Linked DNA regions of Drosophila melanogaster. The protein of the gene in region 1 purifies or fractionates together with the protein of each later gene. This does not show direct contact. Each region holds a gene or a part of one and is shown on either strand. Other genes may lie near its edges.

The links.
Region 2: the proteins of Rab2 (region 1) and GCC88 purify together in Drosophila melanogaster (affinity purification with western blotting, with the first as the bait; one study listed by BioGRID). This does not show direct contact.

Annotation. Positions count from the first base shown.
Region 1 is NT_033778.4:6,694,864-6,700,257, forward strand, and holds Rab2 (Rab2), read left to right. Parts: upstream 1-1,875; 5' UTR 1,876-2,020; coding exon 2,021-2,066; intron 2,067-2,552; coding exon 2,553-2,712; intron 2,713-3,185; coding exon 3,186-3,522; intron 3,523-3,582; coding exon 3,583-3,681; 3' UTR 3,682-4,606; downstream 4,607-5,394. Other genes in the region: CG3270 (uncharacterized protein), read left to right, coding at 1-208; Mob4 (MOB kinase activator 4), read right to left, coding at 731-980, 1,029-1,402, 1,477-1,536. UniProt on the Drosophila melanogaster protein: May be involved in bidirectional endoplasmic reticulum (ER) to Golgi trafficking. Together with Rab7 involved in promoting fusion of autophagosomes and endosomes with lysosomes, probably through recruitment of the HOPS tethering complex.
Region 2 is NT_033777.3:11,227,582-11,232,770, reverse strand, and holds GCC88 (GRIP and coiled-coil domain containing 88 kDa), read left to right. Parts: upstream 1-2,170; 5' UTR 2,171-2,321; coding exon 2,322-2,403; intron 2,404-2,456; coding exon 2,457-4,281; intron 4,282-4,349; coding exon 4,350-4,530; 3' UTR 4,531-4,600; downstream 4,601-5,189. Other genes in the region: Dph3 (diphthamide biosynthesis 3), read right to left, coding at 353-430, 503-577, 647-754; CG17187 (uncharacterized protein), read left to right, coding at 1,063-1,962; CG17726 (uncharacterized protein), read right to left, coding at 4,601-5,189.

The DNA.
Region 1 (5,394 bases):
AAACGGCGTCATCGGCAGGCATCCTCACTACAGCAATCTCTTCATTGCCGCAGGCTTCAGTGGGCACGGCATTCAGCAGACTCCCGCCGTGGGTCGAGCCATTTCCGAACTAATCTTGGACGGCAAGTTTACCACACTGGATCTGTCGCGCCTCGGCTTCGAACGCCTTGTAAACCAACAGCCTATGCACGAAGTGAATATCGTTTGACAAATTTATCACAGGAGGATCGTACTTGCCCTTGGTGTGTTTATGTATGTACTTCTTTTATTGCAATTTCTGTTGTGTATATAGTAATTTTGTATAGTAAAGTTCACGTTTTAGTCACGTACAGCTGTGTTGGTGTTTTGGCTGCCAGTAGTCAAGGGAATTTAGTTTAGTTTACGGGGATTTGACGTGGAATCAGCCACGAGAAGGTCGTGTGCCTACATATAATTTATTAAAATAAGGAGTTAAACATAATCGTAATATAACTTGCGAAATAATTGCTGACTTAGGATCAGATGGGGCGAGCGGGTTTGAGGGGGTCTGCCCTTGTTACTTAGTTATCGTTATGTAGCTCTATGTGTATCTGACATCTAAACTACATACAAGATCTGCATTAGAGTCGGGTCCGCGTGGAATCGTTTCCCTGTCAGGGTGAGCCAACCCAACTTGCAAGCTATTGGTAAATATAAATAGATGTATGTTGAATGAGTGTTTCATGCGAGTCTGACTAATCTGGGCGGGCTCCTAAGCCTCGCTTTCGCCAGGGGCCGCGTTTTCACCCACGTTGATGGGCACGATCAGATTCTCCTTCGACATCAGATTATATTTTGTGACGAAATGCGTGAAACGGTGGCACAGATACGTCTCGGCCTCGAATTCGTCGAAAATGCGACGATGGTGAAAGTAGGCGTGCGAGAAGATGCGATACACCCGCCGACATACGGAGCCCAGCTTGGTTACCGACGACTCCTTGATGGACACCCTGGGAGAGACACTTTGCTTATTATGTGGCTAGTTCAACCATGTCGCTAAGCCTGCATACCTGCTAGGGAAGTACTTGTTGCTGTTTAGCAGACAGGCGGCACCGTCCAGCGTGTGGCGTGTGTAGTCAATGGCCGGACATTCCTTGGGCGTCTTGTGCGCGGCGCACAGGAATATCCACTGGTCAGTGGCTGTCATCTGGGTGCACGTCGACGGCGAGCACTCCTTCTGCAGCCGCACTGCCAGGCCGTTCAGCTCCATGCAGAACTGGCGCAGGTGCTCGTACTTCCACACGCCCTCATCCTGGGCTTCGGGCATGGTCAGTATGAGTTCCACGTTGCTCGGGTCGCGCTTAATCAGCTGCTGTATGTACTGCTGCACCGCCAGCGTGCTGTCCATCTCCTCCAGGGGCTCGTCGGGCCAGCGACAGAAGTCCTGAAAGGCGAAACGGAAAACGGGTCAGACGGGCCGGGCCGGGATCGTTGTTCGGACGCCATGTCATCGCTCACCTTGGATTTTGTGCCTGGCCGGTTCCTACGCAATATGGTCGAGCCGTCAGCCATCTTCATGTTTCACCCGCTCGAAGACGCGATGATCCACAACGTCTGTGCCTACGCCTTGATGAGAAAATCACTGGCAGAAACTGAATGCTAGCCTGGTCCCTGCCCCGCGGGAGTCTCCGGATGTGGGATCCCTGCACCGTAGTATGCTGAGTGTATTCTACAGGAGCTGGCACATCGCTTGACAATTAATTGGCGTTTATCCTCCAAAACACTTTGCTTTGTGCGAGAAAATTTCTGACAAATTCTACATACATACATATACCTATCGATTGGCCAGCGGCAGTGCGCATCGTTATCGATAGGGCGATTGCAGCCTTGCGGTATTTCGGTATTTCCGCCAGCCCTGGCCACAAAGTGGCCACACTGTCGCTAGCCAGTCATCATAAATACGAACAGATTGGAAAACGTACAAGAATTGCGTATTATCTGTGGCATTACGAGATCGTACTTTCTAAAAACTAGCTTACCGTAACCCCCGTCAGCTTAAAACATGTCCTACGCGTACTTGTTCAAATACATCATTATCGGAGACACAGGTGAGTGCAAGCTGCGACTTCCTTTGAAACGGAATGGCCAGTGAAAAGTTGGCCATTGTCAGGGAAACAATCTGTAATTGCAAACAACACAACAAAACAAAGGGCATCGCAGGCGTAGGGGTCGTACCCGAAAATCAAAAAATGGGGGTTTCAGGTGGTCTCAAGTGAAAAATTGATACCGTGAGATCAAAATTGCGTCGGCAGGAAAATATTCCTGGAGTCGGTGGGCCGAAGGAAAAATCAATAATACCATAACAACGCATACAGGCGTTTGCTGCTCTCAGAGTTAGTGGTGCGCGGGGAGCAGCCCACACATAAACCCTGCTGCTGACTCACCCAACCACCCCCAGTAATTGAGGGATTCCGCCCCAAAGAGCCACGGGCTTATCAGCACTCTGCTTTTCGGGATGTCCAACAGCTGTTGGCATTTTCCAGCCTGTCCCACCTTTTCCCCGCTCGCCCACTAACCCTTTTCCGTTTCCGCAGGCGTGGGCAAGTCCTGTCTGCTGCTCCAGTTCACGGACAAGCGATTCCAGCCGGTGCACGACCTGACCATTGGCGTGGAGTTCGGAGCACGCATGATCACCATCGACGGCAAGCAGATCAAGCTTCAAATCTGGGACACGGCTGGGCAGGAGGCTTTCAGGTACCCACTTCTGTTCATTTAGTGTTAATACTTAAGAAGGGATAAGTGAAAGCTCAGATTACTTCCAAAATTGAACTGAATAAATTTTTGCAAATTTCGTATCCAAAACCCCAAGTCCAAGGCGGATAATAATTCGGCTCGTTTTTTATATTAAATAAAATAATTTGAATAAAATTCTTACTTAATGATCCAAAATAATAATAATATATATATATAGAGCCTTTAGTAAAAAGGCTTAATAATTTGTATTCAAAAAATTTTATTTGCTTCATTTCGGCACATTGTTGATAGATGTTTATTTAAAAAAGTTTTAATTCTATCATTTTTAATTTTTTGTGATATAAATTTTTTATACTTTACTTAAAATTAAATAGAAGTCGTCAGACAGAAATTTAATGGGTTACTAATAATTAAATAATATAAGCACTGTCATTTATATAACTGTATTGTGACGCAAAATATTTCTTGAATAGATCTATCACACGCTCTTATTACCGCGGAGCTGCTGGCGCCTTGCTGGTGTACGACATCACGCGACGGGAGACCTTCAACCACCTGACCACCTGGCTGGAGGATGCGCGTCAGCACTCGAACTCGAACATGGTCATTATGCTGATAGGCAACAAGAGCGATTTGGATTCGCGGCGTGAGGTGAAGAAAGAGGAGGGCGAGGCCTTCGCCCGCGAGCACGGACTGGTCTTCATGGAGACTTCTGCGCGCACAGCTGCCAACGTAGAGGAGGCGTTCATAAATACGGCCAAAGAGATTTACGAGAAGATCCAGGAAGGTGTCTTCGACATCAACAATGAGGTAAGAAGGATACATTTAACTTAGAAACTTCTTGCCACTACATTATTATCTCGTTACTAGGCAAACGGCATTAAGATCGGCCAACAGCACTCCCCCACAAACCCGTCGCTCCCAGGAGCCGGAGGAGCAGCTGGAGCAGCAAACAGTGGCTGCTGCTAGGAGTAAACCGCAGATGCCCGATTGCAATTCTGGGATAGGCGCAGCCGCTTCTGTAAAAGCTACTTTAGTGACTAACTAATAGAAGGTAGTTGAAGGAACAGATTTCTTGTTTTCTATCTCAACCGTAACTAACCACGTAAACATAGCTACCACTAATCTAGCAATTGGACACTAAGCTAAATGTTAAAACCATTAAGATCAGACAGTTACAAGAAACACATCTCCTTGTTCAGCTACGTTTTATTTTACCAAAAAAAACCAAAAGGAAGAAGTAACCAGAAATAAACCAAAACAAACCACATTTGTGTACGTGAATGTCGTGCGTGATTTCTAAATTTTATAAAGTTTATTGAAACATTTTTAAATGTTTTATGCATGTATTTTGTGTATATTGAAGTTAGTTTGCTAGTTACTTCGTGTAAAATCGATAGTTATACATTGGGATTTTGACAAAATGATGTGTAATATATGAACAAAAATCAAACTGTGTGAATTTTCATTGTGATTCGATTTCAGTGAGGTCCAGCTTCGCAACGCTGCGCCACGCCCCCTTTTGCAATGGGTATCTGCTCCGCTTCTCTATACACACATACATAATTAAATATATTAATATGTTTACGTTTCCTTCTCAACGCATTTGCTTTGTCTATTTTGTTGTGCAATCCGCTTAGTCTTTATACATACACTAGAAAAAAAGTACTTTAACAAAATATACAAAACGTGAGGGCCGAAATGGGGTTATATAATTTACACAATCAACATGCATTAACCAGTGGTAACACGAAATGCTGCGATTCAATGATCAATTTAGTATTTTACGAAGTTTATATATTTAATTAACGGCGATTGCTAAGACAAAACGAAAGATACAACTGTAAACGTAAATCAAATTATTTATAATATTTGTATTTGCCCAACACAATGCGGAATAATAAATATACATACTTACTATTAATATAATTATATAAATTAAATCGGTACTTACCTTGGGTTCATTAGCGTTTAATCAAGTGATAGTTAACGACTAATTAGTTTTTTGGTGTCTAGATGAGAAGTAAAACACTAAGGCAAATTTAATGAGGCATTTAAAGTTGTAAACAACTCAACTTTTAAATGAAAAGAGGTCAGACAAATAATTACGCATTAGTGTAGTTTTAACCCTTTTTATTTAGTAAGAGGCTTTCGGTAGATAATTGTTGAATTAATGTCTTGTAAATATTATTAAATGGTGAATCCTTTTTTGTTTATGTACATATTTCCTAAAGTGTTCGGAATTAACAATTTCCACTTTCTATGTCGGCTATAGGGATATAGTGTCGCATTTACTTAATTTTTTTAAATGTGCTTACATGTTAAAACATTTTTTTACTACTGAAATATACTATTTAGAAATATTTTTGTATTTTTTTTTAATAATACTTGAACTTTTAAGATATTACATAGGTTTGTTTCTTATTTTCTGAATCTTATCTGTGTTTTGTCTAAGAAAAAGTTTGCCAAACTGCAAAAACAAGTTTTTCGCTTCAACATTAACTATTTTTTATACCCTAATTTGCTCAGTTGGTTTTTTTTAATTGGAAACTATTCGGATCCGTGACGTTTGATGTACAAACAAATGCTCCAAAGATTTTATTGTGAGTTTTAGATTGATTGAAAATGGTCACTTGTTATTGCATACGTTACATAGATTGTTGTTTATTGTATTCCCTTTAA
Region 2 (5,189 bases), on another chromosome or scaffold:
TACTACTCACATTTCCACAGCTGGTACGCTGACGTTCCTTTAACTTGTTTGTGTTTCCAAATTTTCGTTCGATTATCATCATATTGTTGTCCTCCGCGCTTGTAAAACATATATAACAAAGTGTACTCGGTGCAATATGAGTGTTTTAGTTTTAGATATTCTAGAATGTGTGTATAAATCCTTTGTAATTCACCCAAAACGAATAATCCATAACGAATCGAAACTGTTTTTGCGAGCTTGCATAATTTGAAATCATTGTTTTACTAGTCATCGTATTATTTACACTAAAATGAAGTCTATATATATATAAAAATATATAAATAAAAACTATTTAATTACACCAAACTGTGTGTTAGTTCTTCTCGAGCTTCAGGTCGCCGAGCTTCTCGTTCAGCGCACTTTCTTCATCCTCCTCAGCTTTGAACATCTCCTGAAATTCGGAAAATCAGATTGCTTGAGTTTTCTGGGGAGTTCTAGGTGTATTTCTGAATGAGTCACTTACCGGATCGTATATGACCTTGATGACTAGGGAGCAGCTGGGACAGGTGGCCACCTCCTCGCCCTCGATTAGCTCCTCCTAAAGTGGAAATTTACCAAGTGATATGGGGAGTCCAGAAAAAAAAAGGTTGCGTATACGACTCGTTACCTTGGAGATCTGAAATCGATCGCCGCATGGACAGGGATAGTAGTACATCTCCTCCTCCTCGTCGTACTCGAAGTCCTCGATCTCCACCTCGTCGTGATAGATGCTCATGACGTACCTTCAGCTTAATTCAGCGCCTAAAGGTCATATTATATTTGAGTTTTTTTTGCGATAACTTAGATTAATCCACGCCAAACAAATGGGCACGTTGTGTTGCGGGGCTGCCAACTCGTTGCAGCGAACAGCTGATCCAGTAAACAATTGCAAATGTTTTATTTGGACATTTTTGGACCGCCGGCTGCAGTTGTGAAATAAGTCTCGTATAAAATAGTATATTTTAGCTAACTTTTGCCCAAAAAAGACAAACTGCAAAACAAACCCATGTTCCAGTTGTTGAATAAGGAGTAAAATAAGACTAAATGGCTAGCAAAAAGTACAGTGACGTGAATCTTTACGATCTTCTGGGCATTTCTCTCGAGTCTGATCAAAATGAGATACGCAAGGCGTACCGCAAGAAGGCCCTCGAGTGCCATCCCGACAAGAATCCGGACAATCCGAAGGCAGTCGAGCGCTTCCATGAGTTGTCCAAGGCTCTGGAGATCCTCACGGATGAATCCGCGCGCGCAGCTTATGACAAAGTGCTGAAGGCCAAGAAGGCGGCGGAGCTGAGGAGTCGCCAACTGGACGGGAAGCGGCAGAAGCTGAAGCTGGAACTGGAGGAACGTGAACGGGCGGCACTGCACAAACTGGCGAAGAGCCAACCCTACAGCACGGTGGCCAAAAGCGACGAGGAGGTGCTGCATGAGCAGATCGAGCGGTTGCGACGCGAGGGCTCCCGTCTGCTGGAGGAGGAGCAGCGAGCCATGCAGGAGCAGTTCCGGCGGAATCACGCGGAGCAACAGAAACTGCAGCAACAGCCGGTCCAGTTTGATTCCGCCCAGCATCGCATCAAGATGAAGTGGAAGGCCGAACCTGGCCAGGATTACACACAGCAAGAGCTGCTCAAGTATCTGAAGAAGTACGGCGACGTGGTGGCCCTGGTGGTCAACAGCAAGCGACGCGGACGCGCCATGGTGGAGCTGGCCACGCGCGAAGCCTGCGACATGGTCTTGGCCTACGAAAAAGGCGATCCCGCCAAGCCGCTGCACTTCGAGTGGGTAACGCCGCCGGCGGCAGACAAGCAGACAACCAAATCGGCCACCACTGGGTGCAGTGCGTCATCCACCGACTACGAGGACCTGGTCATGCGAAAGCTGCGCCAAGCTGAGGAACGTAAGAGACTCATTGAGCAGATGATGAAGGACGAGGAGGGCGAATGAAATAAGATTTAGTTAGGCTCAACATTTAATTTACTTTAATTGGACTAATATTAATGTTTGAAAATATCTCAATTTAGCAACTATGCAGCTGATTTATAATACATTTACATTTAAAATAGTTTTTAATTTATGTAAATTTGGTTATTAATTATTTTTTGAAAAACCGCAAAAATAAAAAAAAGTTTAAATCAGAATGATGGCAATTTTTAGTGCCTGAGCAAACATGACAAGTTGGCAGGCCCGCGTGCCAGCTGCTGAAATTTGTTAATTAAAAGAAATGCAAAAATGACACGGGAGATAAATAAATTGAACTACTAAGCGAACTGAAAGTAAATGAACTAATTCCCTTTCAAGGCGAAATGGAGAAGCGACAGAGGGAGCTGGAGGCGCTGGTGTCCACCCAAAAGGAGCAACTGGGGCGCTATGAAAAGCGTCTAAAAGGTGAGACATAGATGAATTCGCAATGCAAATGGATTAATGAGCCCAATTTGTAGACGTGGTCACTGCCTACAAGGGTCTGCTTAAGGAGAAGGAGGCATTGGAGACGAGTCTGGCGGCGCATGCGGAGGCCACGGCGGTGGGCGAGTCCGGATCGCCGGCCAGGGAGTTGGAGTCCAAAAAAACCAGCACCGACTCTGCGGATGGAGCAACCGAGGGCGCTGCACCGGGTCCGCCTGCTCCCCCGGCCGAGGGTCAACTGCAGACCCAAATTATCACCCTGATGAACTCGCTGGCCACTCTTTCCGCTGAGAAATCCCGCATGGAGGCCTCCTTTCAGGCGGATAAAAAGCAACTGCGCAGCCAAATCGCCCAAAAGGAGCAGACCATTCAGGAGCTTAATACCCGGGCCAAGGAGCAGGCTGCTCGGGCCAAAAGCGACGTGGACGAGATCAAGGCCAAGTGGATCGTGGAGCGACAGGAGCGCGAGAAAGAGACCAACAACCAAATGCTCATGATCCGCGAACTGCAGAAACTCTATGCGGACGAGCGGCATCTAAAGGACAACATTGAGATGCAGTTAAACAACTTCAAGACCCAGTTCGCCAGCAACGAGGCAGAGAATAGCCGGCTACGGGAATTGCAATCCCAGCTAAAGGAGGCTCGCTCCCAGCTGAAACAGTTCCAGGCCAAGACCGAGCACTCTGCAGCAGCGTCAGCGAGTGCGGACAGCGCCGCTCTCCTTCAGCAAGTGCGCCTTGAGATGCAGCAACTGAAGGAGCAGCATGCAGTGGCCATTCGTCAGGAACAGCGTCGCGTGCTGCGTGCCGAGGAACAGAGTCGCAGGCAGGCGGCGCTGCACGAGGATCGCGTGGCCAGTCTAGAGGCACGCCTGGCGGAGCTCAGCACCACTGTCGGCAGCTACGACCGCCTGCGTCAGCAAGATCAGGACAGCATCCATGATTTGAAGCAGCAGCTGCAGGATCTAGAGCAGGCACATGTGCGTCCAACATCCAATTCAAGGGCGCTAAACGAAGATGTGGACGTAGCCACGCTGGTTGACGAGATGGTGCGCTTGAAGAAACTGCTTACCACAGCCAATGCCCGTTCTGCCAATCCACTGGATCTCGGGGAGATCCTATCATTTAGCGGCCAAACAGCTACCCGAGTCGAGAGTCACGCCCACTGCGAGCAACAGCTTCAGGGTGTGCAGCAAATGCTCGAGGCATCCAAGCAGCAGCGACAGCTACTCGAACAGAAGGTGCAGCTGCAGCACTCGCACATCCAAACGCTGCAGGAGAAGGTGCAGGTGCTCAATCGCAACATCGACGAGGCGGAAGTCGAACTAAAGCAGCAGGGCGAAAAGCTGCGCCTGGCATTGAAGAACGAACGAACCAAGTGGCAGGAAGCCAAGGCTGAACTGGAGAACGAGACGCGCTGCAAACTGAACGAGCTGGAACAGCTACTGCAGAAGCAGCGCCAGAGGTCACTGCAGCTGCTGGATGAGAAGGAGCAGGAGATTAAGACACTGCAGACCTCCTTCGAGGTCTTTCACTCGGCCAGCGGTGTGGGCAGCACACTGGCCACACCCACACTTGAAGCAGCTGCCGATTCCTTTCACTATTCCTCCGACACCGACAGCGTGGAGGGGGAGCAGCGGGAAAGAAAGCTAAAGGTGCGCTCCAAGAAAATGTCGATGGGCGAGAACTGCCACATGCTGCACTATGCCAACGAGTTGGCGCGCAAGGACATCGAAATCACGACACTGCGGAAAGCCAAATACGCCGCCGAGTCGACGCTGCGAAAGGCGATCCAGGACAAGGTGACATCTCAGCAGGAAATGCACGAGAAGATCGAGTGCCTCAAGGAGCAGGTGGACAGGTGCGTCGTTGTCGTTGTTATCGTTGTTGTCTTAGAAAGTCATGCCACGATCTCTACTCCCATTCTAGACTCGAACGTTGCAAGACGCGCGAGGGTGCCAATCTGGAGTACCTGAAGAACGTTATTATCAGCTACATTGTTACCCGGGACGCGGACGGCAAGCGTCACATGCTGAACGCCATCTCGGCGGTGCTCCAGTTCACCGCCGCAGAGATGCAGGCGATCAATGCATCATTCCAGAAGAAATAACATTCGTACTTTTGTTCAACAATCATGTGCAACATATTTAAAACCCTACAAACAGATCCTAAATAGATAACTAACTAAATCCGACGACTGGGTATTTGTCTAGGTGGGCAGCTAGCACGCCGGGAAACATGGCCAGGAACTTAAAGCGAGTGCCCATCTGGGCTGGATCCGTGAGCATCTCGTAGCCGGAGCGAATGATCTCCTGGTTTTCGGGCAGCGCATGTGCCAACAGTTGCTCCAGTCGAGCCTCACCCTGCATTCGCTGCAGGAACAGTCCCTGCTCCACGGGACCGCAGCAGTGGACATTTCCGCGTGTCTCGGCAATGTGCCGCACTAGCTTGAAGTCCACATCGGCCGTGAGATCAGCACTGCCCGGCTCCACCAGCGGATCGTGCAGCTTGTGCTGCTTGAAGGCCCGGAAAGTGTCGGTTTTCTCGCCAAAATGGCCATAATCCATGATTAGAGCGATGCCGCCATCCCGTTCGATGCGCTCGGCGAGCAGTCCCACCTGTCGTTCCGTCTCCAGGGAGTGCTCCAAACAGGATCGTGTCTCGCCGGGCAGCGGTCGATAAAGACTCGAAACGGGTGTTTGGCTACGTGAGAGCACATATCGGAAGCTAGCTTCTTGTGCGCCATCAGAGGATGCCACATCGATGAGC